Sus scrofa: one gene and its partners. The protein of the gene in region 1 interacts with the protein of each later gene in a biochemical or structural test. Links are inferred from orthologs where the notes say so. Each region holds a gene or a part of one and is shown in the gene's direction. Other genes may lie near its edges.

Region 1 (5,946 bases):
TGTTTAGCTGCATATGACTTGAAGGTTCCCAGACCAGACTCCTCTGCACTAACATTGCTAACACTTATTGAAGCATGTATTATGTGTAAGGCAAAGATTCCAAAAATGAGGCAGTTCCTTCCCACAAAACACTGAACATGTGGTCAGTAAGACATGTCAGGTGGCCATGAACCACATGTATCACAAGGTAACTTGAAGTAAACATTAGTGTAACACAAGCAGCAGACTGAAGAATGAGAGGAGGGGTTGTCTCAGCCCAGCAACTGGGGGAGGTTTCAATCCGGGCTAGATATTTCAGCCAGGTGGGAGAGATAAGTGAGTTAAAAATAGAAGACAGATGCAGTCTGAAGGGAAGAGCAAACAAAGACTTGGGTGTGGTATGTCCTTGTTGGTAGAAGCTTGCACTTGACCTAAAGCTGTTGGTTATGTTTGTCATAATGATCTTGCACACGGCCACAGGGATGGGTGAGCCTTGAGTGCACCAGTCACCCTAATGAGTAATGCTGAGGTGCTTGTCTTCCCCTTCAAGGCTGGGTTGGGTCTCACTCCTTCTACCTCAGTGTCTAGCACTGTGTTGGACATGGCAAATGCTCAGTAAACCAGGGAAGTTATTCTTGGCTGTGTCCTTTAAGTGCTGAGGTGAGGGTTCCTGACAAAAGCAGGAGAAAAAGGAAATCACCTGAGGTTTCTGTATTGCAGGCTGGCCTATTAGCTGGCTAACCTTGAACAAAGTGTCTGGCTTTGACATCTGGAAATGGGGATAATGTGCCTTAAAGGTCTGCGAAAGTTCAGTCAGGATGTTAATGAAGCACCTACACAAATAACCAACATGTACTATTAGATTATTTTTTTTTTGTTTATTTGTTCGTTTTCTTTCTTGTCTACCCCATGGTATATGGAGTTCCCAGGCCAGGGATCAGATCCAAGCCACAGTTATGACCTGAGCCACAGCTGTGGCAATGAATGGTGGAACTTTAACCCACTGTGCCAGGCTGGGGACTGAACTGTGTCCCAGCACTGCAGAGATACCACCAATCCCATTGCACCACAGCGGGAATTCCAGTATTACCTTTTTTTTTTTTTTTTGGTCTTTTTGTCCTTTTAGGGCCGCACCTATGGCATATGGAGGTTCCCAGACTAGGGGTCCAATCAGAGCTGTAGCTGCTGGCCTACACCAGAGCCACAGCAATGCCAGATCCGAGCCCCGTCTTTGACTACACCACAGCTCGTGGCAACACCAGATCCTTAACCCACTGAGCGAGGCCAGGGATCAAACCCGCAACCTCATGGTTCCTAGTCGGATTCATTTCCGCTGTGCCATGACGGGAACTCCTCCAGTATTGCATTTTTAAGCTTTCAGATTTACTAAGTGTTTCTCTTCTCTCTCTCTTTTTTTAAGGGTTATCTCTTTCATACAGTTGCTGGGAAGCATCAGGATTTAAAATACATCTCTCCAGAAATTGTAAGCCATCCTTTTGGAACCTGCCACACATGGGGTATTGAAATCTCATTGTTCTTAGCAGCCAGGGTTAATTCTCCTCGGTTCTCTTTCCACAGATAGCATCTGTTTTGAACGGCAAGTTTGCCAACCTCATTAAAGAGTTCGTTATCATTGACTGCCGATACCCATATGAATATGAGGGCGGCCACATCAAGGTATGGATTCCTAAAACTTGCCAGTGAGTCCTCTTGTCATGGGAGCTATGGCAGCATTTCTGTGGGTGTTTTGTTTTTTAAAGGGGGAGGTAATGTTTGGCTGCTTATAAAGCTTATATGCTGGTTATCATAAGTGTACAGAGAGGCAGTGGTGGGAGTTCCCATTGTGGCACAGCAGAAACGAATCCAACTAGTATCAGTGAGGATGCAGGTGTGAGTGTGCAGCCCTAAAAAAGTAAAACATATGAAAAGAGGCAGTGGGCATGAAAGGCATCTGAGTCCTGGTACACAGAAAGAATGCTCCCTTGTCTGTACTAATCCCTACCACATGGCATAGCAAATGCTCCCTGTTTTGTCCCTTACGCCATCACCATCAGGGGCATTTCCAAATAGTGCCCACTAATTTCATGACTGAACATGAAGCCAGAGGAGAAGCCAGTCTTTGGCAACATGTCCCCATTTGTGCCACACCTAGTGATGCCTCATAAGTTTTAGAGTTAAGTTAAGTTGCCTGGTTAGGCCAGTGTTGGAACGCTTTTCCAGAAAGAAGATAATTGATTGTGCCATTTTAATCTTTTTTTTTTTTTTTTTTTTTTTTTTTGGGTCTCTTTAGCCTTTTCTAGGGCCGCTCCCACAGCATATGGAGATTTCCAGGCTAGGGGTTCAATCAGAGCTACAGCTGCTGGCCTACACCACAGCTCATGGCAACGCTGGATCCTCAACCCACTGAGCAAGGCCAGGGATCGAACCCGTAACCTCATGGTTCCTAGACAGATTTGTTAACCACTGCGCCACGATGGGAACTCCTGTGCCATTTTAATCTTTTAACCACTAAAATAGTGTTGAAATATGGTAAGGAGGTACTTTAATCACAGCGTTAATGTTTGCCACTGTCTTATGGCTGTGAAAGCCCCACATTTACCCCCCACATTTACAAATACCACTCCTAAAGCACATGTGGTCACAACGGAATTTGAGGTGCCCATTTGAATCATTACTGTAAATATGAGGTGAGAGTCTCTGGTGCCTTCACAGGGTGCAGTGAACTTGCATATGGAAGAAGAGGTTGAAGACTTCCTACTCAAGAAGCCCATCGTACCTACAGATGGCAAGCGTGTCATCGTGGTGTTCCACTGCGAGTTCTCTTCTGAGCGAGGCCCTCGCATGTGAGTGGGCTCTGGGACTTGGAGCACATCACAGGTCATTTACATGCCTTAGCCTATGCACATGGTGTGTAAATACATGGGGTTTTGTAAAGTATCAATTCATGTGTAGCAGATGTTCTCTCAAATTCTTACCTATTTAGCAGTCAGTTGATTTCATGAATAGCTTCCTGGAGTATAGTTCATAGGCTTAACCTAACAGTTTCTGTTGTGAAGGCTTTTCTGGTTTCCCCAGGGCAGCCTGTAATCCTGATATCTTGCCCATACAATATCTTTCATAGATCTGGGCTCTGCTTCATCACTCCCACTTCTGAGTTAGTCGTGGCTCACTGTTCAACCTTTCTTTATATTAAACTCTGGCTCTTCCAATTTCCCCTATTGTCTTTAGCTGTTCTCAGGCCACTGTTTTCAGGTGATATCCTTCAAGTACAATGTGGTTACTCTATGCAAATGCCAGAAAAGTGTGACATCCTCACAGTAAAACTTGATGTGACACTTTCAAACATTTGTGAAATCCATGTTTGCAAAGGAGTGGGTTATATTACCTTCACATTACTGCTACATTAGGGGTGAAAAAGAAATGCCACCACACACACACTCCCTCTCTCGCTCTCTGTCTCTCTCTCTCTCTTTTTTTTTTTTTTTTTTGGCCATTTGTTGGGCTGCTCCCGTGGCATATGGAGGTTCCCAGGCTAGGGGTCTAATCAGAGCTGTAGCCGCCAGCCTACACCAGAGCCACAGCAACGCCAGATCTGAGCCGTGTCTGCAACCTATAGCATAGCTCATGGCAACGCCGGATCCTTAACCCACTGAGCAAGGCCAGGGATCAAACCCACAACTTCATGGTTCCTAGTCGGATTCACTAAAACCACTGAGCCACGATGGGAACTCCTCTCTCTCTTTTATTAACAAGAATTTCTATTAGGGCTTTGGTGTGAAAGGCCCTGTTTTTGGGAAGGGTACATTTTATACCAAGATAAATGAAAATATAACTACAGTAAAACAACATTCACTTAAGATCCGAAATAATCATCTGGTACTCTTAATAGCATCCTTCCACATTCTCACTAATAGTAACTGGACTGGTGCCAAAAATATGGTGAGCAGTGAGTGATAGTTATGAAAAGTGGTGGTGGTGGGGGGGCAAACAGCCACCCATCCATTGTCCAGGTCCCTTCAGAAAGGACTGCCACACTGGACATGTCAGGGGCTATTGAAGCAATGAAGGTACAGCAGTGAGGGGACCTGCCCCCGGGGAAATCACAGTGGAGACGGAAGGTGGTAGTGACAGGTGCTGAGCAAATGGGGATAGAGGCGCAGGGAGCAATTCAGCTTCTCTAGGGAGGTCAGAGAGACTTCTCATTGGGCCAGATTCAAGGTTTTTTTTTTTTTTTTTTTTTTTTTTTGCTTTTTAGGCCCATACCTGCGGTATATGGAAGCTCCCAGGATAGGGGTCAAATCCGAGCTATAGCTGCCAGCCTGTGCTAGCACAGTGTGTCACAGCCACAGTAACTCAGGATCCTACACCACAGCTCATGGTAATGCTGGATCCCTGGTCCACTGAGCAAGGCCAGGGATTGAACCCTCATCCTCATGGATACTAGTTGGATTCGTTTCCACTGAGCCACAGCGAGAACTCCCAGGTTTAATTTCTTGTGCCATCTTTTTTTTGGAAGTAGTTGAAGCGCAGAAGGAACACATGCTTCCCCTGAATTCATCAAATTTCAATATTTTGCTAAATTTGCACACATATAACTCATAAAAATGTTTACAATACACTTGCATATGCACAACTACAAGAACTTGGTGTGTGTGACCATCTCTCCAAGTCCTTCAGCACCTATCTCCTAGAGATAAGGACTTTGCCCCACATTAGTCCAAAACCATAAATACATGAAGAGGTGGGCTTTCAGCGAGACCTAATGTTTATTCACAAGTGGAATTATTCACTTTGCACACTATTACTTCACATGTGCCAGGTACTGGGGAGAGTAGCAGTGGACAAAACAGACAAAACCCACTGTCTTCTAGGAGCTTACATTTCATCTTATCTGGGCAGGATATGTAAACTTGTGACATGTTAGAAGGTGCTAAGACCAGAGATGAACAGCAAGGGGACCACAGTGGCTGAGGCATCAGGGAAGCGGGGGATGACACATTGTAGGCACTGTGAGGACTCTAGCTTTTGTACTAAGAGTTGAAAAGGAAGGGGGCACCAGTGGATGAGGATATCTGTATTTAGTCCAGGTATAGGATACAAATAGTACCCTGAGGCAAGAGTCAAGTTTAGCCCATTTAAAAAAGCCACAGGAAGAAAAATGCCTTCCTAGGAGGTGAGGGAGAGACACTGGTTGAGGAGAAGGTGGAGAATGCAGTGAGAAGCATGCTGAGAGGCTGTCTCTGCTGATGGGGTGCTGGGTAGAAATCAGATGCTAGGGCTGCTCAACTTGGAAACTGGAAAGAGGCCCTCTACCTTCCAATACAAGGCTGTGAACACTTCCTAAAGATCACAGGTAGCCAGGAAATCCCAACTCGGCACTGTTTCGAAGAATGAACATAAGGTTGCAGAGACATGTGTAAGGAGCACTTAAACCACAAACAACCCACAAGTGCTGTTTTCTGAAACTGTAGAGCTAACCGTGCTCTGGCTTTCCGTCCCCTCTGTAGGTGCCGATACGTGAGAGAAAGAGATCGTCTTGGGAACGAGTACCCCAGACTCCATTACCCAGAGCTGTATGTCCTGAAGGGTGGATACAAGGAGTTCTTCCTGAAATGCCAGGTAAGATGGGCTCTCTGGAGGATGTGGCCCTCCCTCCCCTTGCCTAGGTTGGACAGTTAGACCTGGCTGGTGGTTACAGCTGTTTCTTCCCAGGGATTTGGGGATTTGCCCTGCACGTAGAAGGGCCCTAGAACCACTGACCAGAGCCTTGCAGCCCCTGGCAGGGAGGGAGCAGGAGAGTGCCTGTGAGGCAGATAAGCCCTGACCTCATCTTGTCTGCCCACCAGTCTCACTGCGAGCCCCCCAGCTACCGGCCCATGCACCACGAGGATTTTAAAGAAGACCTGAAGAAGTTCCGCACCAAGAGCCGGACCTGGGCTGGGGAAAAGAGCAAAAGGGAGATGTACA
Region 2 (5,946 bases), on another chromosome or scaffold:
GCTTTCTCACCATTGCCCGCCTCCCCACCCTACCTTCTGCCCAGAAACCCCAAATTCATGTGTTCCATAAAAATAGTTTTAAAATTGAAAGTCATCCACAGTATTTAAAAATGGTATTAGAGGAAAAAGTTACTCGGTAATAGGATTTTGTAAGATTCTGGGAAGGAGTTTTTCTTAAGCTCATTTTAATAACTGTTACAGTTGTGCTGGTGGTGTTGAGCAGAAGAAATCCTTACACAATCCTTTGCTTCTCTCCCCATTTAAGAGTGTGGTGGTGCAGAAGCAGCATTTCTTTTTAGTTGTGTTTAGGTGTGGCCCATCTCTTGCTTGACTCTTGGCCCAGCAGCTTTCCAGATTTAAGCCACACTTTTGATACTTGCCGCTTTTATAATGTATACATGCCAGAGACTCATTAGGTAGTTTTCCTATAATACTAAGTTTAACTTACCCTGAATTTCAGACCCTCACAAAATTTTTTTTAACCTAAACATGTTTTTCAATAAATTTAAAGATTTAAAATGTTTTTCTGTTTATTTCCTTTAAAATAACATGCATATAATCATTCCAAATTGTTTAGGCTCTTTATTCAGAAAAACAACAAGTTCTTGAGTTCAAACTACGTCTTTTTTTCTTTTTTTTTCTTTGTCTTTTTGCCATTTCTTGGGCCGCTCCCGCGGCATATGGAGGTTCCCAGGCTAGGGGTCTAATTGGAGCTGTAGCCACTGGCCTACACCACAGCCACAGCAATGCAGGATCCGAGCCGCGTCTGCGACCTACACCACAGCTCATGGCAACGCCAGATCCTTAACCCACTGAGTGAGGCCAGGAATCCAACCCGAAACATGGTTGGTTCCTAGTCGGATTCGTTAACCACTGCACCACGACGGGAACTCCCTCAGGTACATCTTCTAAATCATCTTTTACTTCTCCAGTATCTATTTATTGATTTTACTCCCAAAACAAACCTATGAGGTATAGGTTTTAATACCTTAAAATTTCTTTGAGAACTTCATTCTACTCTATATTTTTTGTTACAGAAAGATTTTTAAATTACTTAGCATCAAGTAAAATTGATAGTCCAAGAAAGTACCTCTCATATTTGTCTTTTGTGACTTTTTAACACTCTCAGGCACACCTTGTACAAATACCTCAGTTTGGGAAGTGCTGGCTCATTGGATCAAGCCGAAGTTTTCTTTGTATGAAATGGGAAATAAAAGATATACTTAAATACTAACCCAGTTTTCAAAAATGATTTTAAAAATAATTCCATTCAGTAGCCGTAACTGTCAGATTGCCCGCTAAGTTTGTAGATCACTTACTCGGATCCCCTTACTCGCCCTGGTTCTGGATGGGCACTGGTTGGCAGAGGATGCTGAGCAGCCCCGCCCTGGGCCGTGACGACTTCCTTGCTCTGCTTATACTGTTCAAACTTGATGGCTTAAACATTTTGTTTCCCTCCCTGAAGTGATTGCACATGCTTGTTTTCTCACTGTTGTGTTCCTTCTGTTACTTCTCGACACATCCCTTCCCCGGGGAAGCTTGTCCTAGCAGTGGCCCCTCCAGCAGAGCCAGATAGTCGTCCCCTGTGCTTCCATAGCCCCCTGTTCATGTGTCTTTTATGCCCTGTGTACTGGTCATAGTGTACTTACCTTTTTCCGTACTAGACTGTGAGCTCTTTGAGGGCAGGAACCTTCTCTTTATTTCCCCTCTGGTCACATGCAGTGCCTGGCACCTAGCAAGTGCCTCTTTGAATGAATGGATGAACGAACTGACAGGCTCTTTCTAATTATGATTGTTGATGTCATCTAGCTTTACCGTTAGAAATTATCACTCACTGTGAGCCAAGCCATTCAACTAATGGCAGCCACCTGGCCCCTGCTCTCTAGCCCATGCTTTCAGTCCAGGGTGGCACGGTGTGGAGTGACTGGTAGTTACTTTTATTAGTGCCTAATGTTTTAACTTATTTCTTTCAGGAATTGTTGGATAAGTATTTAATAGCCAATGCAACTAATCCAGAGAGTAAGGTCTTCTACCTGAAAATGAAGGGAGATTACTTCCGGTACCTTGCTGAGGTTGCTTGCGGTGATGATCGGAAACGTAAGTGCGCTTGGTTTTATGGGTACAGCTAAGAAATAAAAGGAGAGCGGGATAAATTCATACTGTTGCCTTACATTCTCAAAAATGAAAACAGTCATGAGTTTACATTATGCGCCCTTTTTGAAAAATTAAACTCATAAACTGATTATAACCTGATAAAGTTTATTAAATATTATTTAAAAAAACATGCAAGTATTGGGCATTCCCTTCGTTGCTCAGCAGTTAACGAGCCCGACTAGGATCCATGAGGATACATGTTTGATCCCTGGCCTCACTCAGTGGATTAAGAATCTGGCATTGCTGTGACTGTGGTGTAGGCCGGCAGCTGTAGCTCCAATTCAGCTCCTAGCCTGGGAACTTGCATATGCCACAAGTGTGGCCCTGAAAAGGAGGAAAAAAAAAAAAAAGCAAATGTCTATCACAGATCCACAAATGCATACATTATGATGGCAACTCCAGAGGCATCATCAGGAGACCCCACTCCTTCATAAATTCCCAAAAGAAGTATGTACAAATATTAAACAAAACACATGTACAAAAATATTCATAGCAGTGTTATTTGTAAGAACACAAACCTCGAAACAATTCACATGGGTATCACCAATCGGATGGACGGACAGATAGTGGTCGGGTCCTGTTTTGAGGATCCCGGCATCCGTCCCCTGGCACAGTGATGCCTGCCTATCCACAAGTAAATTTGCCCCTTTTTTGTACTCAGGCTTGACAGAGGCTTCGAAGCTTTACAACCTTCTGGTGCATTAACCCTTAGCTGTGCTTAGAGGTACATTTCCTGATGTAGGAGAGGAATGAGGGGTTGGTGGGTGGAGGGAAGCAAAATGGAGAGTATCTGGGAGGGGAAGTGAAAAAAGCCCCCATGGGACTAAAGGAGGGATGAGGTGGGGATCAAAGCACATCTGCCTGTGTCATAATTTTGCTTCAGGAACACATTCTAGGTGTACCGTACAGAAGTGAAGAGGCGTTTCCACTGCCTGTAGCCGTGTGGACAGATCTCAGCAATCCGGTGTTGAATAAGGAGTTCCCTGATGGCTCAGTCGGCAGGCTGCGATCTGGCGTTGTCACTGCCGTGGCACACGTTCAGGCCCAGTTAGTCTGTGGCGTTAGAAATCAGGAAAGGGCTTGGGAAGGGTGTCGAAACTGGGGGCGGGGACAGGGGGCCTTCTTGATACTGAGAATGTCCTGTTTCTCGAGCTCGCTCCCAAGGTGACAGACATTTTCTATCAAGAGCCAGATGGTGCATATCTCAGGGTTCATAGGCCATGTAGTCTCTGTCAGCAGCCACTCAGCTCTGCTTTCGTCGTGGAAAGGCGAGTATAGACAACATGTGAATAAATGGCTGTTGCTGTGTCCCAGTAGGGAAAACCCCAGGCTTATTACTCTTTAGCCTTTAAAATTTGGTTCATCATATTTTTAGCCCCAGAGTTCTTTGCATATGCTTTGGATGTCACATGGTCTTTAGCATCTTATATCTGGAAACTTAAGGTAACTGGAAATTACATGTAGGCTAGAGAAATAGGATGTTGTACTTTTTCTGCTTGACATATTAATTCATTAGCTACTACCCATCTTGAAGGATCATAACATTGACTGCTTATTATAGATAACCAGATTTCTGAAAAAGAGAGGTAAGATGAGAGTAGTATTACTGGTATATAATTTATCATAGAAAACATAGATATGGGGCAAAGAATGACCAAGTTACCTAACGTGATTATAAAAAGGTCAAGGTAAACTTATTAGCAGTGAACTCAGTCTCCTGGAGTAATGACAGCTGGGCATGCCATCCTGTTAAATTCTGTGTGTGTTCATCAAGCTATAGAAGTTCCGCTTAACTCATTTTTTTCCCAGAAGTTCATTATTTTCTTCATTTTGCCCCATCCCAAAAGGGCATGTACCCACACACATTACGGCCTCCTCTCCTCTCTGCTCCATAGAGAGACGCTAACTAAAAGTGAGACAGTTCTACCACCCCAAAAGCAGTGTATTTGAGCACATAAAGGAAAACTCTTGTGCCTCACTGTAACACAGTCTGTGTACTGTTGTTATTCATATGTAATTTCTGTTGCTATAAAGATAAGCAGACCTGGACATGATTAGTGTTTGCACAGAACTAAACGCTTAAATGTCAGCCAGCCGAAGGGATCGAGAGGTTGAGCCATAGCCACGCGTTCATCCGATCTAACCATTTCTGACTCGGCCTCTTCTAGTCCTGTGCATAGACTACTCTGGTAGTCTGGTATTTTTTACTACCTACAAGCTGAGACGCCATTCGTACTCATTGTAGCGCTTCCTTCTGTGCCAGGGAGCAAGAGCTCCTTAGTAGGCGAGGGCTGTGCCAGCTGTGATTACCTCAGTAAATGCGCCATTTCAGAGCAAGGAAAATGCACACGTGCTGGCTGTGAAGGAACAGCTTAATTTCTGTTAGGTCCGTCTTTTTTCAAGCTGTAGTGGGACCAAAGGCCTCATTCAGAACACCTGCCCTTTGCAAAACATGGTTTAATCAGATTAGTGTGGGTAGTGCTTCCTGGACGTTTTTTTCAGGAAGGTAACATTAGGCCAGTAATTAAACTCTGGTCAGAGCAGATTTGGATCTATCTCTGGGTGCTTTTATATTGCCTTTCACATAATACACCTTGATACCAAGGGTAGGTGGTGTTTCTACAGGTAAATCACAAAAATAGAGATTTTGGTGGTGATCTTTGTAAAATGTTTCCATTATTTCAGGATGGAACATTATAGCTAGCTTTTTTCCGAACTTTATTGAGTTATTATTGATGTGTGTGTACCAAATTATTTTTAATCAAAAGACGTGGAAGAAAATTGTTTTAGTCCCAGAAATGGAAAAATCTGTTGTATTATTACATGAGGTTTTTTTTTTAAGCTGATTATAAGCAAGCAACATTATAAACTAGTTTTTTAAAAACCTGGTACAAAGTAATGTTTTTGGCTTGCCGCTATGGTTTTAAAAGAAGACTGCAGAGGAGTTCCCATTGTGGTGCAGCAGAAACGAATCTGACTAGTAACCATGAGGTTTCAGATTCAATCCCTGGCCTGGCTCAGTGGGTTAAGGATCTGGCCTTGCTGTGAGTTGTGTAGGTCGCAGAGGTGCCTCTGATCCCACGTTGCTGTGGCAGTGATGTGGGCCAATTCAGCCCCTCACCTGGGCACTTCCATATGCTGCAGGTGCAGCCCTAAAAACCAAAAAATAAATAAAAGAAGGCTACAGAGAAAAATCTGGTTCTACTGAGCTAGCAGCCTATGTTAAAGGTATTGCTGAATACCAGGTGGGTATTTTCAGTATCATGTTTTTTATTTTGTTTTTTCCTTCACAGAAACGATAGATAATTCCCAGGGAGCTTACCAAGAGGCTTTTGATATAAGCAAGAAAGAGATGCAACCCACACACCCCATCCGCCTGGGGCTGGCTCTTAACTTCTCTGTATTTTACTATGAGATCCTCAATAATCCAGAACTTGCCTGCACACTGGCCAAAACGGTAAGCTCTGCACGCGGAAACGGCCTCTAGGTGATTGGAGAGCAGCTTGTTGCTTTCCAGTTGTTTCTACTGCATTTATTTGGATAACCCTTCCTTTTCTTAGCATCACACCCCCCCGCCCGCCACTGCGCTTCGCAGGCCCTTACTCTCCCGGCTCTGGTTTAGAGTAATAAGATCTGTCTAAAGGGCATGTAGGTTAGAGTATTCGGAAGAGTGTGAAAGAAATGGAAAGGACTGGAAGATAATGCCTGCCGGGTTTTTATAAGTTTCAAGTCATACTCAAAAGTTCTTAGGCTGAGGAGTTCCCGTCATGGCGCAGTGGTTAACGAATCCGA
Region 3 (6,561 bases), on another chromosome or scaffold:
TCTGTGCCATTCATCCCTTCATGTTGCTGTAGGTGTCAGGGGTTTGTCTTTATTGCTGTATAGTATTTCATTGAATGAATATAGCGAAATTCACATATCCATTTTACCACTGAGGAACAAATTAACTAGGATATAGGACATCAGGAACTATCATTCTTTGCTGGCGGGAGTATAAACTGCTTGGGTCACTAAGGAAGACTACCATTATTATAACAACTGTCATTTATTGAGCATTTACTATGTGCCAGGCACTGTACTCAGCCATTCAGCTGCATTATTTCACTTAACCCTCTCAATGACCGTAAGAGATAGAGAGCTGCCATGTGTGAAATCAGACAATCATGGTATCGGATTTCCTGCCGTGGCACAGCAGAAATGAATCTGACCAGGAACCATGAGGTTGCAGTTCAATCCCTGGCCTCGCTCAGTGGGTTAAGGATCTGGCATTGCCGTGAGCTGTGGTGTAGGTGGCAGACGCGGCTCGGATCCAGCGTTGCTGTGGCTGCGGTGTAGGCTGACAGCTACAGCTCCGATTTGACCCCTAGTCTGGGAACTTCCATATGCTGCTGGTGTGACCCTAAAAAGCCAAAAAAAAAAGGATGAATTTCATAGCATGTGAATTATAACTCAATAAAGCTGTTATTAAAAAAAAAGAGGAGTTCCCGTCGTGGCGCAGTGGTTAACGAATCCGACTAGGAACCATGAGGTTGCGGGTTCGGTCCCTGCCCTTGCTCAGTGGGTTAACGATCCGGCGTTGCCGTGAGCTGTGGTGTAGGTTGCAGATGCGGCTCGGATCCCGAGTTGCTGTGGCTCTGGCATAGGCCGGGGGCTACAGCTCCGATTCAACCCCTAGCCTGGGAACCTCCATATGCCGCAGGAGCGGCCCAAGAAATAGCAACAACAACAAAAGACAAAAGACAAAACAACAACAACAACAACAACAACAACAACAACAACAAAAGACAATCATGGTATCAACATCACAGGATTATTGCGAAATTTAGTTAATACCTCCAAAGATTTAGTGCAAAGCTATTTTGGAAATGTTTGTGATACCTGTTACTGTTAAGGGCACGGGGCTGGAAATTCAAGAACCTGCATTCCAGGTCTACCTAAGCCAACCTGAGCAAGTCATCTCAGCGGCCTTGACCTCAGAGCCCCAGGAAGTTCAACGATCTGCTAATTGGCAACTCTGAGGATGACACAGTCATGCCCACCAGTAAGACCCAGGCTCTAATTTTAAGATAGTCACGGAAGGAGGGGGCCCAAGACTGAGACTACATCAGGAAGGGCCTTAGGAGTGTTTAGGAGCTCTCTGCCACATGCTTATTCTAGAGGCTTAATACAGTAGTGCTTTCAAGTCACGATTGTTCAGTACTACCTCTCTCCATAGCCTATAAACTCCACAAGGGCTTGGTGATTGTGTTTTTCAAGCATTCCTTCACAAATAAGATTTAAGGGCCTCCCTTCCTCCAGGCACTATGCCAAGACCTGGACAGGCAAAGTAGGGAAAGGAGCACCAAACACAGAAAGGAGCAAGAGACTTAATGGTGGCAAGTGCTGTGAAGGAACCACAGCAGGGCAATGGGGTAGACAGGAACTCCTGGGGAGAGGGGTGCTCTAGATTAAATCAGTGGTCATTGACGTTCTCCGGAAGGACAAGCGGCCCCAAGGGGCCAGAGCTGGGAACAACAAACTCCAAGGCCCTGAGATGAGAAAGGACAGAGGGTGATCAGGGGAGCCGTCAGGGAAGGGGGTTGAAGGGGAGGGCTGAGGGGGGCGAAGGCCACTCCATGCGGAGCCCTGGAAGGCAGGGAGCGTGGATTTGACTTTAAGGGCCAAAACACTTTATCGCTGGAGAGAACTGCGTGGAATTCCAGCATCAGAAAGGGCTTCTGCCAGGGATGAATCTGTGGGGAAGAGGCACACGTGGAGGGTGCTCGAATATTAGCTGAATGAATGCATGCAAAGAATCACGCATGAATGGCCAGTTGGGCTGACACGCGACTAGGAGTAACAGCTGTTCTACAGGGGTACCCAGACCTAGCGGCCTAAGGCCCTGGTTCTAGGCCCTGTGACCAGGCGCTGTGACCTTGGGCACATCCCCGCCCCAACTCAGGGCCCGGAACCCTGCGTCTCTCGGGGGCGGGGAGGACGTGCAAGGAGCGACAGTGCGCGCGCGCGCGCGCGGCAGGCCGATGGATGCGGAGTCTTCTGGCCCGACCCCCGCCGGGGCCCGAACCCTCGTCGCCCGCGGTGTTTACATTCCACCCGCGCGGGCCACGCGGCTTTTTGCCGCTCCGGCGCCGCTCGGCTCCGCCCCCGGAGCCCCGCGACCCGCCCCTCCGCGCGCTCGCGCCAGACCTCCCTCGCGGCCGGCCGGCCGGCGCGTCCCCGCCCCCTCGCGCGCGCCGGCCGGCCCCCGCGTCCCGCCCCGCGCGGGCTCCGCAGCTCAGGCCGCGCAGGCCCCGCCACGGCCCCCGGGCCCCGCCCCTCCGGCGCGCAGGCCCTGTCACTTAGCCCCGCCCTTCGCTGGCCCCGCCCCCGGAGGTGCCGAGCGCCTGGGCGGGCCTGCGCCGCGCGGGGCGGTCCTGAGGGCGGTGGCGGGGCGGGCCCGGGCCCTCGGGCGGCTGCTGAGGGGCTCCGAGCCGGCCGGGGCGGGGCGGAGGGTGGCGGGAGGGCGCGAGGGCGGGCCGGGGGCCGGTTCCGCGCGCTGGGATTTTTAAATGTCCCGCTCTTAGCCGGGCGCAGGAGCAGCCGGCTCGGCCGCCAGCGCGGTGTAGGGGGCAGGCGCGGATCCCGCCACCGCCGCGCGCTCGGCCCGCCGCCGCCTCCCGCCTCCCGGCTTCCCGCTCGCCCCTGCCTCCTGCGTCCGGCCTCGGCTCGTGCCGCCTGCCTGCCTGCCGCGGAGACGGCTTCGGGTAAGGACCCCGCCGCGGGCTGCCGGACGGCGCGGCGGGCAAGGACTCCCGGAGCGCCCGGGTCGGGCCGGGCCGGGCCGGGCCGGGCCGGGGTGGGGGTGGGGGTGGGGCGAGATCGGGTCGCCGGGTCCCCAGAGGCGTCAGCGCGGGGTGCCCCGGTAGGGCGGCTCAGAGACAGGCTACAGGGAGGTGTTGAGGGGAAGACTGAGGCAGCCTGGGCCCCGAGGGAGGCGATGGGCCGGCGAGGGTTTCGGGGGGCGTCGAGGGCCCCCCCACCCCGGGTTCCGACCCGGCATCGCCGGTCGCTGGCGCCGCCGCGGGTGACAGGCCACCCCGGGCCCATCGGCCATTTTCCCGACCGGCCCGGGAGGCTCCCGCCGCCGCCGCCGCCCGCGCGGGAGGGGGAGGGGTACCAGGGACGGGCCGGCGGGGCCCTGGCCCCCTCCGCCGCCGGTCCTCAGCCCACTGCCTTTTCGTGCCCCCAGGCCTGAGGTCTGAACTTGTGCCCAGCGCCATGCCGAGGGAGAAGAAGGAAAGGTGAGTGGCCTGGCCGCTGCGGTAGAGGGAAAGGTGTGCAGTGGTGGGGGAGGGGTGGGCCGAGATTTGGGGAGAACTCACCCTCACCTCTGTGCCCCCCCTGGCTTTGCAGGGATGCGAAGGAACCTGACACTATGAAAGAGGAAAGTGGCACTGATGTCTCTGTTCGCTCCAGGAAAAGGAAGGCAAATGTGGCCGTTGTGAGTACAAAGGAGACAGGTGGGGGAGGATTCCCCCCTTCTCATCATACCTGGGTTCTGCCCACCTATTTATTGATAGGGGGTCACGGGGGAATGCGTTTGGCAGAAATGGTGCTCACATAACCTAACCTACTGTCTTTTTCTTCTCTATGTGTGTGTTTTTGTCTTTGGACTGTGTGGTGTGTTTCCTTGGGTTGTGGGGGTTGTTTTACGTCAGTTTTTGCAAGATCCAGATGAAGATGTGGCCAAAATTGACAGAACTGTGAGAAGCCAGTGTGGCAATCAGGTAGGTACACTTACTGATTGGGCCTAAATGGAGGCTTTCCTTTTGGGGGGTCAAATGTAGTCTCTTATTCCCTTGGCTGGCTCCTGCTGAAGGCTTGTTCTCTGACTATGGCCATATGACGGTGCCCGTCAGTGGGCACTGACCGCTGCCAGCCTTGGGATTCCAGGAAGGTGTATGTTCCTGTCTGACATCCCTGAGATGACAAATATGCGCCCATGTCTGGAAGAACCAGAATGGACATCACATAACTCAGTCCTCTCCTTTTGCCCTTGAGGAAACTGAGACTCGGTTAGAGGAAGAAAGTAACCCAGAGTCCTGTGCAAGCCAGGGGCGGAGTCTGTGCTTCAGCCTAGTCTGCAGGCTGGTGAACTGCAGGGAAGGCTCCTGACACAGAACTCTGGGTCACTGTGATGATGGTGGTTTGCGTGTGCTCCGAAGCACCTTCTCCCTCATCCACACTTGTGTTTTCTCGTCATGGTGCTTAGGAATTGCCCTTCCCTGTTCCCACCCCCGTTGGGTCATGTTTCAGACTTTTTTTCCCCTTTCTGAACGTTCTTCCAGCTCATCCAGCAATTACCTGTAGTGATCCCTGCTGTCTGGTACCTGACCTGGCCTCCACCAGAGCATTGGTGGGACATTCCCTGTAAGGATAATGCACCTCTCAAGCACACTTTTTAAATTGGCTGGTCCTTTTCTCTTGCCCTTCCTTTGTGGACTTCCCGCCATATTTCTTGCATGCTCATGGTATCGTCATAATATCAGAAGTTCCTAGCAGAAAAGGCTTGTATTATCTCTCTACCTCCAGAAATGGCTGGAGAATGTAGTTATGGCTCCAGTAGGGGAAGCAGCCTATCTCCAGACTAGCTGATCAGGCTTTCTAATGCAATAACAGATAAAAACTGAGCAGGAATATTAGGGTTGAGCCAAGGATAGTGGTCCCCATGACATTAGCAGTGACAGCACTCCACTTTGTAGGGCAGTGAACAACAGCCATAGTGCTGGGTCTGGAAGAGTAAGGAGCTTCAAGGCCGTGGGCTGCATTGTTTGCAAAACAGTTGTTACTGCACACAGGACCCTAGTAATTAGTATTTCTGGGGAGGTTCTACTGAGTGTTGAACAAGGGATTCTTGATTTCCCTGCTGTGTTAGAAGAAGTACTTCACTTTAGGAAAGGGAATAAGGTAGTGCCTTCCAAGTTCTTTTTTCTTCTTTCTCTCCTGAAAGACTTCAGACCAGGGAGTTCCCATCATGGTGCAGTGGAAATAAATCTGACTAGCTAGTATCCATGAGGATGCAGGTTCGATCCCTGGCCTCGCTCAGTGGGTTAAGGATCCAGCATTGCCGTGAGCTGTGGTGCAGGTCGAAGATGCAGGTCGGATCTGATGTGGCTGTGGCTGTGGTGTAGGCCGGCGGCTGTAGCTCCAATTCGACCCCTAGCCTGGGAACTTCCATATGCCACGAGTGCAGCCCTAAAAAGCAAAAAGAGAGAGAGACTGCAGACCAAGCAAGTTGATGTTTATGGATGTCTTCTTTGTGAAATTCAAGATTACCTTCCCAGCTGTGTTTCGAATTGAAATTTTTAACTGAGGTTGAAGCAAAGCTGTCCCTCTTGACTTCTTGGAGTTTGAGAATAGTTTCTGTTCTCAGAGATAAGCTGAGTGGTGCCTCGAGTGCCTAAGACAGGGCTTTGGCCCTATCCCTGGACTGCAGAGAGCTGATAGAGGTGGTACATGAAGAGCCATATCATTTCCCACTAGAAGGCATTTTCATGGTTGTTCAGAGATTAATGACAACAGGTTTCTGCACATTTTGTCGAGCAGATAGCTGGAAAATGACCACCCATCAGTTATGGAGCAATCAATGTCTTTTGTTATTTCTTGCTATAGATTCATGAAGCCAAGCTTTTGGGGTCACAACCTTTTTGCCTGTTAATTACACAGAATTTTCCTCTGGAGTCACAGTTTAGCCCTGTTGAGCAGCCCTGAGCTACTTGTCGCCGTCATGGGCAACTCCGTGTAACTGCTTCATCGAGACCACATAGAAGCTTTGATTCTTACTTTAGGTTTTTCTTCATGAAAATAATACTCTTTTATTTAAAGTCCACTTAATATATCTGTCTTGTTGTTCGAGTTTTTTTCTCGACATGGAATCCTGGACTTTCTGTTCGTTACTTATAGTTTTGCATAAATTAGAAAGTTAAAAGTGGCTCGAAGAGTCAGAGGTGGTCAGGAATAATCAAGATTTGCCTCTTACTATTGTCTCATTCCTTCCTAAAGTCAGACAGATCCTGCTTTTTTTTGAGACATGGTGTACACTCAAGTTAAAGGGTAAAGACGTCATCATTCTGCTTCATACACTGGTTCCTTTAGGCCGACTTTGGGGACCATTTGTCTACTTGTGGTTCACCCGATTTGTCTATGAACTGCAGATTGAGAACTGTTACCATTTTATCTCCAAAGGCCTGCTCTCAGCTATTTCAACCATCTGGCTCTAGAGGGTGACACCCAGCTTCTGCTTTCAAAACTAGAATTCATTCTTGAATGAAGAGCAGCTTAAAGCAGTTGTAATGTGACCCTTTCTGAGTCAAGGAAATGCTACCAGCACATGATACTAGAACT
Region 4 (5,946 bases), on another chromosome or scaffold:
TGCCTGGCAAATAGTTGGCTTTCAAAAATGTTTATTGAATGAATGAATTTAGCAGACGTGAGATGTGAGTCAGATGTAACCAGTTGTTTTCCAGTACAACCCAGTATTTGGATTGGAAAAAACCAACCAAATAAGTATATTTTAATGGCAAACTTCTGGCAGCAAAGAAGGTTTAAAAAAACTTATTAATCAGCAAACTTCATATTAGTCACCCAGTGTGATTTGGTGATTAGAAGAGTAAGGTTAGATAAGGTGAGAGTGAGGGAGACAGCATCCAGCACTTCTCTGGTATGGCCACAGCGGGAATAATGGGTATTGAGGACAGTTCTGTGAAGGCATGTAGACTACTGAAGTGTTTTTGTAGGGGAGTGACCAGAATGATGAACGAGCTGGAAGCTAAAATAAGGAATAATTGAGGAACTTAAGGAAAACTCGCTAATTGTTAAATACAGTTGTTCACAATATGTGAATGAAAACTATATGGAAGCAATTTGGAGTAGTGCAGTGATGACCCCCATTGATGGATCTGTCCAACAACTGAACAGGTTATTTTATAACATGAGACTCACCCTGGGTTATTCATTATCAGGGATATTATAAAGGGAATTTAAACATTGCTTGGCTAGTTGGACCAAAGTACTTTTAGCATCTTGTCCAACCCTAAGGTTTAGTGTTTTTGGCAGTATTGTGCCCCATCATAATGTATGTGTATGTTCTTAACAACCTTCTTCTGACCTCTTTTTGAACTCTATGATTTACCTTTATATAAGGAGATAAATTAAGCCAGCTTATATAATAAATGGAGTATCTGGAATGTGAAAACTTTATTCCCAAATTAAAAATACTGATTTTTTTCCTTTTTATAAGGATAAAAGCTAATCATGAAATAAGATCGTAAGTTTAAAGAAGAAAGTAAAAAAATCAACAGAAACCCATCAATCAGTTACAATCAGTCTTAAGATTTTGGTTAATAGGTTTTAGGTATCATTTTATTAACTCATCTACTAACCTAACTACTTAAGATTCTCCCTTGGTTATTTAGCCTTTCGCAAGTTGTTTCATAAGGTGCTTAGCATAGTTTTAGCTATTCAAAATTGCAAGTTGTTTCATAAGGTGCTTAGCACAGTTTTAGCTATTCAAAATTGCAAGTTGTTTTATAAGGTGCTTAGCACAGTTTTAGCTATTCAAAATTTTGGTGTATGGGGAAAAGGAACCATAGAATGGTCTGTTGATGAATTCTGAGAAACGAGAGCACAAGCTGGGAGACTTCCTTCTGGCTCTTCTTCACTTTTTAGTGCTGCACCCTTGGCATATGGAAGTTCCCAGGCTAGGGGTCTAATCAGAGCTGCCGCTGACCACAGCCACAGCAATGCAGGATCCGAGCTATGTTTGCAACCCACACCACAGCTCACAGCAACGCCAGATCCTTAACCCACTGATCGAGGCCAGGGACTGAACCTGAATCCTCATAATACTAGTTGGATTCATTTGTACTGCACAGCAATGGGAACTCCCCTCCTTCTGTTTCTATTTTTCATTTTAGGTCCAATACTTTTTGAATACTAATAGCTTCGATGGTATTATAATCAATTTTTCCTATTCCTCACCTACAAATTGAGTCCTTTTCTGATTAAATGCAGATTTCAAGCCACATAAAAACTTCTAAAAAGGAAGGACTGCAGTTAGGAAAGGTAATAATATTTAGGGAAGGATTTATAGGAGATTTCAAAGGAAATAAAATGGTCTTAAACTAGGTATTAGGTGAGTGGATTTTCATTACGTTGATATTTCATATCTTGTATATTATATAAATAATCTTCTGTTTCTGCTTAATGATAATCTTATAAAAAGGAAAACAACACCAATATAGTGTAAGTCTTCCTGTGTATTCCTTCACAGATGTGCGTACCTTTTTTTTTTCTTAGAAGTAATCACAATCCTTAAGTTAAATTTATTATATGCAGTTAGAGCTAAGTATTATGTAGTAGAATTGGTGAAACAATAGAATCTAAGGAATGCTATGGTCATCCATTAGTATTTTCAGTGATTACTATCAGTTAACTTGGAACTCTAAGTCTCAGTGGTTTGCTAAGACTGTGTCTTATATACCTATTAAAAGGATTATGACAGTAGGTACCTCCCAAGACATCCCAGTAATTATTATCGACAGCTTACTTCTTATATTGGGTGGCTGTAATTGATTTTTAAAGAATCAGTCCCCTAATTGAGGACATTTAAGTTGTTTCTAGCCTTGAAAAAAATAGAGCAGTGATGCCTATTCCGTAAATTTGTGCACAGGCCAATACAATAATTGAGTTATATTATTATGAATATTTATTATGGCACTTGCCTTTCTTTTCATTTATACCCAATTCCATGTCAGTAGAGTAGATAGACTTTGTTTCTTGTATTTTTTCTTTTGGCTGTGCCCTTGGCTTATGGAAGTTCCCAGGCCAGGGATCAAACCTGTGCCACAGCAGCAATCCCAGCCACTACAATGATACCTGATCCTTAATTTGCTGTGCCACAGTGGGAACTCCTAATTATTTCTTTATTGATGGACATTTAAGATATTTACAAATAATACTGTTATAGATATCCTTATTTGTGAATTTTTGGATGTATTTTTGTGGATATGGTCCTACAAGTGGAAATTGCTAGTTCAGAGAGTGTGAGTATTTCAAATTTTGGCATCTTTTGCCAGATGGCTTTCTTTTTTTTTTTTTTTTTGTCTTTTTGCTATTTCTCGGGCCTCTCCTGCGGCATATGGAGGTTCCCAGGCTAGGGGTCCAATCGGAGCTACAGCTGCCGGCCTATGCCACAGCCACAGCAATTCGGGATCCGAGCCGCGTCTGCAACCTACACCACAGCTCACGGCAACGCCGGATTGTTAACCCACTGAGCAAGGGCAGGGACCGAACTCGCAACCTCATGGTTCCTAGTCGGATTCGTTAACCACTGCGCCATGACGGGAACTCCTGCCAGATGGCTTTCTAAAAAAGTTGTACCAGTGGACACTTAATAATAGGGGTTCTCCCCAACTCTGAAGACTAGGTTAGATTCCCTTTCTGTAAGATCTTGTAATGTCCTACATTTTCATAACCTTCACAGCAGTTGTTATAGTTAGTCTTTTTCAGTAATTTATCTACCTGCAATGGCTAGTGCAGTGTCGCTCAGTTGTGGTAGATATTTACTAAGTATAGTTATAAGGAAGCTTTGCCTGCAGTTTGTGTGTGTTGAAAATGAGAAGTTAGAATGGAAATGTGTTCTTCTGGGTTTTTTTTGGTCTTTTTGCCATTTCTTGGGCCGCTCTCTTGGCACAGGGAGGTTCCCAGGCTAGGGGTTGAATTGGAGCTGTAGCCACCAGCCTACGCCAAAGCCACAGCAACTCCGGATCGCAGCTGCGTCTGCGACCTACACCACAGCTCACGGCAACGCTGGATCCTTAACCCACTGAGCAAGGCCAGGGATTGAACCCACAACCTCATGGTTCCTAGTCGGATTCGTTAACCACTGTGCCACGACAGGAACTTCCTGGTTTGTTTTTTATACAGAGTTCCTCCTCCTTTTCTAAACTTAGTCACTTCGACAAGAAATTCTGGTGATATGTGGATCTTTAGTTTTGGAGTGTCTTTGTACATTTTCTTCTGACCAGCTGGGTTTGTTCGCTGCTGAGAAAGTTGTGCCTAATATATTATTGATGTCTCCCTCTTGCCCTCTGCCACAGCCTGATGAGGGCATGGTCCTGCTTTTAGCCCAGGCCTGGAGTGTTCTTTTCTAGAAAGCCCTTTTGACTCCATTATCTTTCTTTAACCTGGTCCATGATATTTGTGTGTTCATGAAAGCCATGAAGTCTTTTCCTAGTTTTATCTATATGACAACGTCTTTTATTTCTTTTTAAAAATTTCTTTTTGGTCATTTTAAGGTAGAGAATCTACAAATCTTAAGTAATACCAGTGGTTTTCCAATAAAACTCAATTTCTTTTAGTATATCTATTTACAAAATATTTTTATCCAGTGCCATCTTTTTTCCTTTGGTTTAGATAACCTCAAAATCTCTGACTTCGGCTTGGCAACCGTTTTTCGGCACAATAATCGTGAGCGTTTATTGAACAAGATGTGTGGTACTTTACCATATGTTGCTCCAGAGCTTCTGAAGAGAAAAGAATTTCATGCAGAACCAGTTGATGTTTGGTCCTGTGGAATAGTACTTACTGCAATGTTGGCTGGAGGTAAGAGCTATTTAATTATGATAAATGATTATTATAAGAGCTACTTAATTATGATAAATAATTATCATATGATAAATTATGATAATTTCCTATGGAAACCCAGATTTGTTGTACCAAAATAAATGAAATAAATCAAGGGAATAGTATTTATGTGATAGTATTTTAATATTAACTTATTTATAACCAAGTTGGAACTTTCAATCCCAGAGGTTTTTAAAGATGAAGTGTGTATATAGCTATTAAATGACATATAACAGTAGCTCTCTCTTTGAAAATTCATGTGAGTAATTTTGGATAGAGTAAGGCAGGACATGGACTATCTATCTTAGAAATGCCTTTGAAATTTCTTTGAGTTGACATTCTTATTTTGGAAACCATATTTAATTAATTTGGAGGAAACTTAATGGATTTGTGTCACTGATTATTTTCCCTTAAAACCTTTATTGTACAATGATGCAAACACTCAGAAAACTGGGACTTGTTTGTTTTTTAGAATTGCCGTGGGACCAGCCTAGTGATAGTTGTCAGGAATATTGTGATTGGAAAGAAAAAAAAACATACCTCAACCCTTGGAAAAAAATCGATTCTGCTCCTCTAGGTAACCGGGTTATCTTAATTTAAAGTATTGATTTCTTAGATAGTGAAGCCTAGCGCTGTTTGAATTTTCTTCTTACTTTTTTTTTCTTCTTAACTTTTAAATCATTATGTAAATAACCTGTGATCCTTATAGATAAATTAGGAAAATAATAAAAAATTTTATAAATCCAATCCTATAATTCCAGCACTCAGAAATAGCTTCTTATAGTAATTTTGATATGTACTTCTACACTTTGTAGTAAAATATATATATGTTTGCTATATATGTATATTATTTATAAGTATGTGTGTTTTTGCAAAAAATGAGATCCCATTATACATGCTGTTTTGTAACCTGTCTTTATTGTGTTAATGCTTTGTGAACATTTTTCCATGACTATAATTATAGGTCTACATCACTGTTTGTTTTTTTTGGGTTTTTTTTGTCTTTTTGTCTTTTGTCTTTTGTCTTTTGTTGTTGTTGTTGTTGTTGCTATTTCTTGGGCCGCTCCCGCGGCATATGGAGGTTCCCAGGCTAGGGGTCCAATCGGAGCTACAGCTGCCGGCCTATGCCACAGCCACAGCAACGCGGGATCCGAGCCGCGTCTGCAACCTACACCACAGCTCACGGCAACGCCGGATCGTTAACCCACTGAGCAAGGGCAGGGACCAAACCCGCAACCTCATGGTTCCTAGTCGGATTCGTTAACCGCTGCGCCATGACGGGAACTCCTACATCACTGTTTTTAAAGGCTGTGATGGTATTCTGCTATATGGACATGCCTTATAATACTTATCCAGTCCACCTTTTTAGAAATTCTGAATTTTTTCTAATTTCTCAGTGTTATAACGTTGAAAAAAAAAAAAAAAGAGATATGGTGATTGTCCATACAACTTAATCTTTGCACATAATTTTAAATTACTTAATTAAAATAAAATCCCAGAAGTGGAATCACAGAATCAAAAATACATGCAGTGTTTTTGTTATTGTTGTTGTTGTCTTTTTTTTTTTGTCTTTTTGCCTTTTCTAGGGCCACTCTCCGCGGCACATGGAGGTTCCCAGGCTCAGGGTCCAATCGGAGTTGTAGCTACCGACCTACACCGCAGCCACAGCAACACCAGATCCGAGCCGAGTCTG
Region 5 (5,946 bases), on another chromosome or scaffold:
GTTTTTATTTTGGCTGCACCTGTGACAGGTGGAAGTTCCCAGGCCAGGGATTAAACCCATGCCCCAATTGTGACCTCTGCCTTAACCCTCTGCACCACAGGGGAGCTTCCCAGTATGGTTTTTTTTTTTTTTTTTTTTTTTTTTTTTTTTTTTTTTGGTCTTTTTAGGCCCACATCCATGGAATATGGAGGTTCCCAGACTAGGGGTTGAATCAGAGCTGAAGCTTGCTGGCCTATACCACAGCCACAGCAATGCCAGATCCGAGCTGTGCCTGTGACCTACACCACGGCTTACCTTAACGCCAGATCCTTAACCCGCTGAGCCAGGTCAGGTATCGAACTCATATCCTCATGGATTTTAGTCAGATTTGTTACTGCTGAGCCATGATGAGAACTCCCCCATTATGTCTTTTGATTGTAGTCATCATAGTAGCTGTGAAGTGGTACCTTACTGTGGTTTTGGATTACATTTCCCTGATGGCTAATGATGTTAAACAATCTTTTCATATGCTTGGTGAAATAGTCATTTTTATGCACTTGGAGAAATGTCTATTCAGATCCTTTGTTCTTTTTTTTTTTTTTTTTTTTTTTTTTTTTTTTGGCTGCACCTGAGGCATGTAGAAATTCCTGGGCCAGGGACCGAACCCTAGCCACAGCAGTGACAATGTCATATTGTTAACCTGCATGGCTTCCTGGGAACTCCTGTGTTTAACTTTTTGAGGAACCACAGATTTTTTCACAAAGGCATACCATGTTACAGTCCCACCAGTAATGCGTGAGGGTTCCTGTTTCTTTGCCTTTTTGCCAACACTTATTATTTTCTTTTTTTTTTTTTTAAATTATAGCCATCTTCATAGATGTGAAGTGGTTACATGTGTAATTTTGATCTTGCCACAGTATCCTCCTTAGATGGTATATAAATTACATTCTTCTTGGAAATGTATGAGAATATCTGCTTTTTCAGACCTCTTGCCAACACAGTGTAATGTGAAACTTTTTGATTTTTGTCAGTCTGAAAGTTGAAACATGGAATCTTTATTTAGGCTTTCAGATTTTCTTGTATTGAGTTAGCATGGCCATCTTCTCATGTATTTGAGCTATTTGTATTTCTGTCTTTCATAAATTGTCTCTTCATATCCTTTACCCATTTATTATTGGATTGTTTGTCTTTTTCTTACTGCTTTGTAGAAACTTCACAGATATTAGGGAAATAAGTCCTTTGTCTGTGGTGTGAGTTGCTAATATTTTCCCTAGTCTGTCTTTTCATGAACATTTTGCTTAACTGCCATATGCGTTGTCCTGGGTGTTGTAGCTGTACTCTTGAACAAGAGATGCAAGGCTGCCCTCCCAGAGAATGTTCTAACAGGGGAATACCAAATAATCAAGATAATTTTCAGTTATGGTCCATACTTAGAGGAAAACTCAACAGCCTGTCATGATTATGGTGGGTAGGTGATAAAGGGGGAGTCTGCTTCTACAGAAAGCTGAATGGAAAACAATAATTTGCAGGCACAAAAGGTAAGATAGCCATTCAGATAGTTTTGAATGAGGAATTCAAAGTCCATGAAGGAGATTGAGCCATGCATTTTGGGGGCAGTGGAAGGAGGCCAGTGGAGCTGGGTGTAGTGATCAAAGGAAGGGTACAAGGTAAAGCTGGGAGGGACGCAGGGGCCAGACCTTGAGCACCTAGCCTGCCATGCAGAGTGTAGATATTACACTAAGTATGGTGGGAGGCCTCAGGAGGGTATAGGAGGAAGTTATTGTTATATCATAAGTATTTTTCCCAACCACTCAGAATTATTTGAGAATTTTAATGGCTGCTTAGCATTTCATGGCTATGTATAAACTAATTTATTAAAGTTGTTGGAAATTTTTGTTTTCTTTCTCTTTTTTGTTTCTCTCTCTCTTTTTTTTAATTTTATGACCATGGCATATAAAAGTTTTCAGGCCAGGGATTGAATCTGAGCTGCAGCTGTGACCTACACTACATCTGTGGCAATGCTAGATCCTTTAACCCACTGCAGGAACCAACACCTCTGCAGCGATCTGAGCCCCTGCGGTCAGATTCTTAACCCACTTCTCCACAGCAGGAACTCCTCTCCCCTCTCATTTTTAATCTTATAAAATCTTGGTGGACAGGTCTATAATTTTCATTGCCTTCTTAGGCTATTTTCCTTCAAGCAGATTTTATGAGAAAATTTTAAAGGTGTTTGATGCATGAAATTTAACAGCCCTCTGGTGTGTGCTTTTGTGTTACAGAGTGTGTTAACGACAGCTACTGGTTTGGGAGGGATAGAAACTGTGAATACTGCTTTGATGAGCCCCTGCTGAAAAGAACCGATAAGTATCGGACTTACAGCAAGAAGCACTTTCGAATCTTCAGAGTAGGTGACAAATATCCATACATTTGGGAGAACTGGTAATCTAGACATCTCTCTTAGATATCTCCCCACCAGAATGCCCCACTGTTAAAACTTTGAAATAAAATATTCTCTATTTTAGGAAATGGGTCCTAAAAACTCTTACATCGCATACATAGAAGATCACAGTGGGAATGGAACCTTTGTAAATAGAGAGCTTGTAGGGAAAGGAAGACGCCTTCCTTTGAATAACAATTCTGAAATTGCACTTTCAGTGTGGAGTAATAAAGGTAATATTATCTTCTGGTTACTGGATTTTTTTTCCTTCCCATATAAAAGGAAAAATGACATTTTATCCTTTGCAGAATATGGTTTAGGTAACTAAAGTAAGTAGATTAGCTTTCAAGATTCATCGCAATCCTGGTTGCATTTTTTAATTATGAAAAGTTCTATCAAGACAGGTTTTCTAAGGTTTAATTGGTTTGATTTAGTTTTATTTAAATCCATATACTGTCAATCGAATTATCACATTGCTTCAGTTATCATTCATTGCTTGACTCAGTTTATTTATTTATTTATTTATTTATTTATTAGTCTTTTGTCTTTTTAGGGCTGCACCTGTGGCATGTCGGGAGGTTCCCAGGCTAGGGGTCTAATCAGAGCTGTAGCCACCGGCTTACGCCAGAGCCATAGCAACACCAGATCTGAGCCGCGTCTACGACCTACAGCACAGCTCATGGCAATGCCGGATCCTTAACCCACTGGGTGAGGCCAGGGAGTGAACCTGCAACCTCATGGTTCCTAGTCGGATTCGTTTGTTTCGCCACGACGGGAACTCCTTGACTCAGTTTTATGATGTCAGCATGAGATATCTGTGAATTGTTATTTTAGGCCATTAGTTCATCTCCCCCTCTTCCTTCTCTGTCCTCCTCATCTATCAAACCATTATATATAGCCCGGCATTAGACTATGGGATTTCCTCTAACAGTCTCAGTTTAGACTTTCCACCTTCTTAAATATGACATGATTATCCTCTGAAAATGGAGAACATCATAATCATCAGGTACCATTTATTCCTAAAACTTCACAAATATCACATCTGAAGCGAACAGTTGTCATTCAGTGAGCATAAAAACCTACAGAATTCAGTATAGCTCACAGTGACTTTAAAACCTTGGACAAGAGGATACTCTTATTTCCTTAATTAAAAAAAAGCCCCATGAACTTCTCAAAACTCTTTTGAGAATTGAGTGACTTGGAGTGGTATATGTTTGTGTGGGTAGCATCTTAAAAATATAGATTCCCAGAGGCATTGCCCCATGGATTCTGATCCAGTAGTTCCAAGGATTTAAAAATCCTGCCCAGGTGATTCCCATGCAGCCGGCCTTCAGACTGGCATCTGGGAATTATGGCTTTCCTGGGTGTCCCATCGTGCTTTTTTTTTTTTTTTTTTGTCTTTTTGTCTTTTGTTGTTGCTGTTGTTGCTATTTCTTGGGCCGCTCCCGCGGCATATGGAGATTCCCAGGCTAGGGGTTGAATCGGAGCTGTAGCCACCGGCCTACGCCAGAGCCACAGCAACGCGGGATCCGAGCCGCGTCTGCAACCTACACCACAGCTCACGGCAACGCCGGATCGTTAACCCACTAAGCAAGGGCAGGGACCGAACCCGCAACCTCATGGTTCCTAGTCGGATTCGTTAACCACTGCGCCACGACGGGAACTCCCCCATCGTGCATTTTATGATTGACTTAGTTATCCCTGTTTTGCTGTTTGAGAGCACCTGGTCAAGGGACAGCTGGGTGCTGAAATTTGTTCTGTCCTCTATTTGACAAGCAGTGTGCCAACTTATTCTAATTGGTTTATCCAAGGTGCACTTTTCTAATTTGGCCAAAAGTGTTCTGTGTTCTGAAGCTGGCCATGACTTAAATAGATCAAACCAGTTCTCTGTAGATCACATGTGGCCTGTTGACATTTTATTTGCTGATATTTGTGCTTAAACATGAAAATCCAAATTACTTTCAAAAGATGGAATACCTTACTATCTTGAGTCTGTAATCTCCTAACCTGAGGATTTGCAGGTGTTGTGTAGAAGCTGCTTCCTTTCCATGGGTGATGTGTTTTCCTGTTCAAGTTCTCACTGCTCCGTGTCTTACATTCACCCTGGCTTTATCTCTGTGCAAGACCTTCCTGGCTTGTGTAGGCCACTGAGTTTGCAGACCTTGAAGTAGACCTTGACATTTGGGGAAATACATCTCCAGAGCTCTTCCAGTGCCCTGATTCTCAGGGGCCACTGGAAGATTTAGGTTCATAAACATCCACCAGCAGAATGGCACAGTGTATCCTGGGCGGCCAGCAAGTCTTATATATTTAGGCAGGTGTCTACCTCCCATGGACCAGCCTGGCTGGAAGCATCCTGAGGTGGTTCAGACTTGTGCCAGAGGTCAAGACCCATCACCTGAAAATATGAGAAACTCAAGGGTCTTAACAAATTTCACTCTTTCAAGATATTATAGGCAGTTGCAGGTTTGCCACTGATGACTTTGTAGAATTGGAATGTTTGATAACTGATTGCAGGCTTGACCTAATAGAGGATTAAATTATGAAATGAGTAGTGTTTTTGGTTTTCTTTTTCTGAGATAACCAAGCCATATAATGAAGAAATAAAGGGGATTTGGGGGGAAAGTGTGGTGTAAATTCAGTATAGTTCACTATAAAATACCCGATAGGTAATGGTAGAAATGGCTGAGAGAAGATGATGCTAGTATGGTGACTTCTGGCCTGATTTTTATTGGGACATTTATTTGCCTAGAACATATTTTCTAGATTCAGACTAATTGCTTTTTGGTTCTTGGTCTGTGCAATTGGTAACTGTTCTGAGGTCAAGCAATAAGAATACTATTTATGTTTAAGTTTCTTGCATTATAGTGAGAACAATGCTGTGTATTTCTGTTGTGGAATGAAACTTTTCTGTCATCATTTTTCAAAGGTTTCACAATATGCATTAACCTAGCTAAATGATTTCTTTGGGGATAAATGTGAAATGGAATTAAAAATGTTTATGGCTCAGTGGTTAACGAACCTGACTAGTATCCATGAGGATGCAGGTTCAATCCCTGGCCTTGCTCAGTGAGTTAAGGATCCCACGTTGCTGTGAGCTGTGGTGTAGGTCGCAGACATGGCTCAGATCCTGTGTTGCTGTGGCTGTGGTGTAGGCCAGTGGCTACAGCTTGGATTCAGCCCCTAGCCTGGGAACCTCCATATGCTGTGAGTACAGCCCTAAAAAAATAAATAAATATAAAGGACAAAAAAAAAAAAAAAAGGATTCTCTTATATTTCATATATTTACTAAGCTTTTAGGACCATTTATCTTCTCTTTATCAAATGAATTAATGACACCAATTTCTGCTATTTTTTTTCCCTCAGTTTTTGTATTTTTTGATCTGACTGTAGATGATCAGTCAGTTTATCCAAAGGAATTAAGAGACGAATACATCATGTCGAAAACTCTTGGAAGGTAATTTTTTTTTTCTTATGAAACTTGTGTTTGATTTCTTTCTAAACATTTGTCATTGGGAGTTCTCTAATGG

Evidence for each region.
Region 2: the proteins of CDC25A (region 1) and YWHAQ form a complex in vitro, tested with the Homo sapiens proteins (2 studies listed by BioGRID, with this or other methods). The link is inferred for Sus scrofa from reciprocal best matches to the Homo sapiens genes CDC25A and YWHAQ.
Region 3: the proteins of CDC25A (region 1) and CCNE1 form a complex in vitro, tested with the Homo sapiens proteins (2 studies listed by BioGRID). The link is inferred for Sus scrofa from reciprocal best matches to the Homo sapiens genes CDC25A and CCNE1.
Region 4: of the proteins of CDC25A (region 1) and CHEK1, one has a biochemical effect on the other in vitro, tested with the Homo sapiens proteins (7 studies listed by BioGRID and IntAct, with this or other methods). The link is inferred for Sus scrofa from reciprocal best matches to the Homo sapiens genes CDC25A and CHEK1.
Region 5: of the proteins of CDC25A (region 1) and CHEK2, one has a biochemical effect on the other in vitro, tested with the Homo sapiens proteins (5 studies listed by BioGRID, with this or other methods). The link is inferred for Sus scrofa from reciprocal best matches to the Homo sapiens genes CDC25A and CHEK2.

What each region holds. Positions count from the first base shown.
Region 1 is NW_018085145.1:125,668-131,613, forward strand, and holds part of CDC25A (M-phase inducer phosphatase 1), read left to right. Parts: intron 1-1,399; coding exon 1,400-1,462; intron 1,463-1,557; coding exon 1,558-1,656; intron 1,657-2,691; coding exon 2,692-2,822; intron 2,823-5,486; coding exon 5,487-5,598; intron 5,599-5,825; coding exon 5,826-5,946. UniProt on the Homo sapiens protein: Tyrosine protein phosphatase which functions as a dosage-dependent inducer of mitotic progression. Directly dephosphorylates CDK1 and stimulates its kinase activity. Also dephosphorylates CDK2 in complex with cyclin-E, in vitro.
Region 2 is NC_010445.4:126,764,880-126,770,825, forward strand, and holds part of YWHAQ (14-3-3 protein theta), read left to right. Parts: intron 1-1,973; coding exon 1,974-2,097; intron 2,098-5,447; coding exon 5,448-5,611; intron 5,612-5,946. UniProt on the Homo sapiens protein: Adapter protein implicated in the regulation of a large spectrum of both general and specialized signaling pathways. Binds to a large number of partners, usually by recognition of a phosphoserine or phosphothreonine motif.
Region 3 is NC_010448.4:39,916,875-39,923,435, forward strand, and holds the start of CCNE1 (G1/S-specific cyclin-E1), read left to right. Parts: upstream 1-2,666; 5' UTR 2,667-2,921; intron 2,922-3,406; 5' UTR 3,407-3,435; coding exon 3,436-3,458; intron 3,459-3,570; coding exon 3,571-3,658; intron 3,659-3,875; coding exon 3,876-3,944; intron 3,945-6,561. UniProt on the Homo sapiens protein: Essential for the control of the cell cycle at the G1/S (start) transition.
Region 4 is NC_010451.4:52,764,690-52,770,635, forward strand, and holds part of CHEK1 (serine/threonine-protein kinase Chk1), read left to right. Parts: intron 1-4,043; coding exon 4,044-4,232; intron 4,233-4,725; coding exon 4,726-4,830; intron 4,831-5,946. UniProt on the Homo sapiens protein: Serine/threonine-protein kinase which is required for checkpoint-mediated cell cycle arrest and activation of DNA repair in response to the presence of DNA damage or unreplicated DNA.
Region 5 is NC_010456.5:45,956,536-45,962,481, reverse strand, and holds part of CHEK2 (serine/threonine-protein kinase Chk2), read left to right. Parts: intron 1-2,258; coding exon 2,259-2,383; intron 2,384-2,501; coding exon 2,502-2,649; intron 2,650-5,782; coding exon 5,783-5,873; intron 5,874-5,946. UniProt on the Homo sapiens protein: Serine/threonine-protein kinase which is required for checkpoint-mediated cell cycle arrest, activation of DNA repair and apoptosis in response to the presence of DNA double-strand breaks.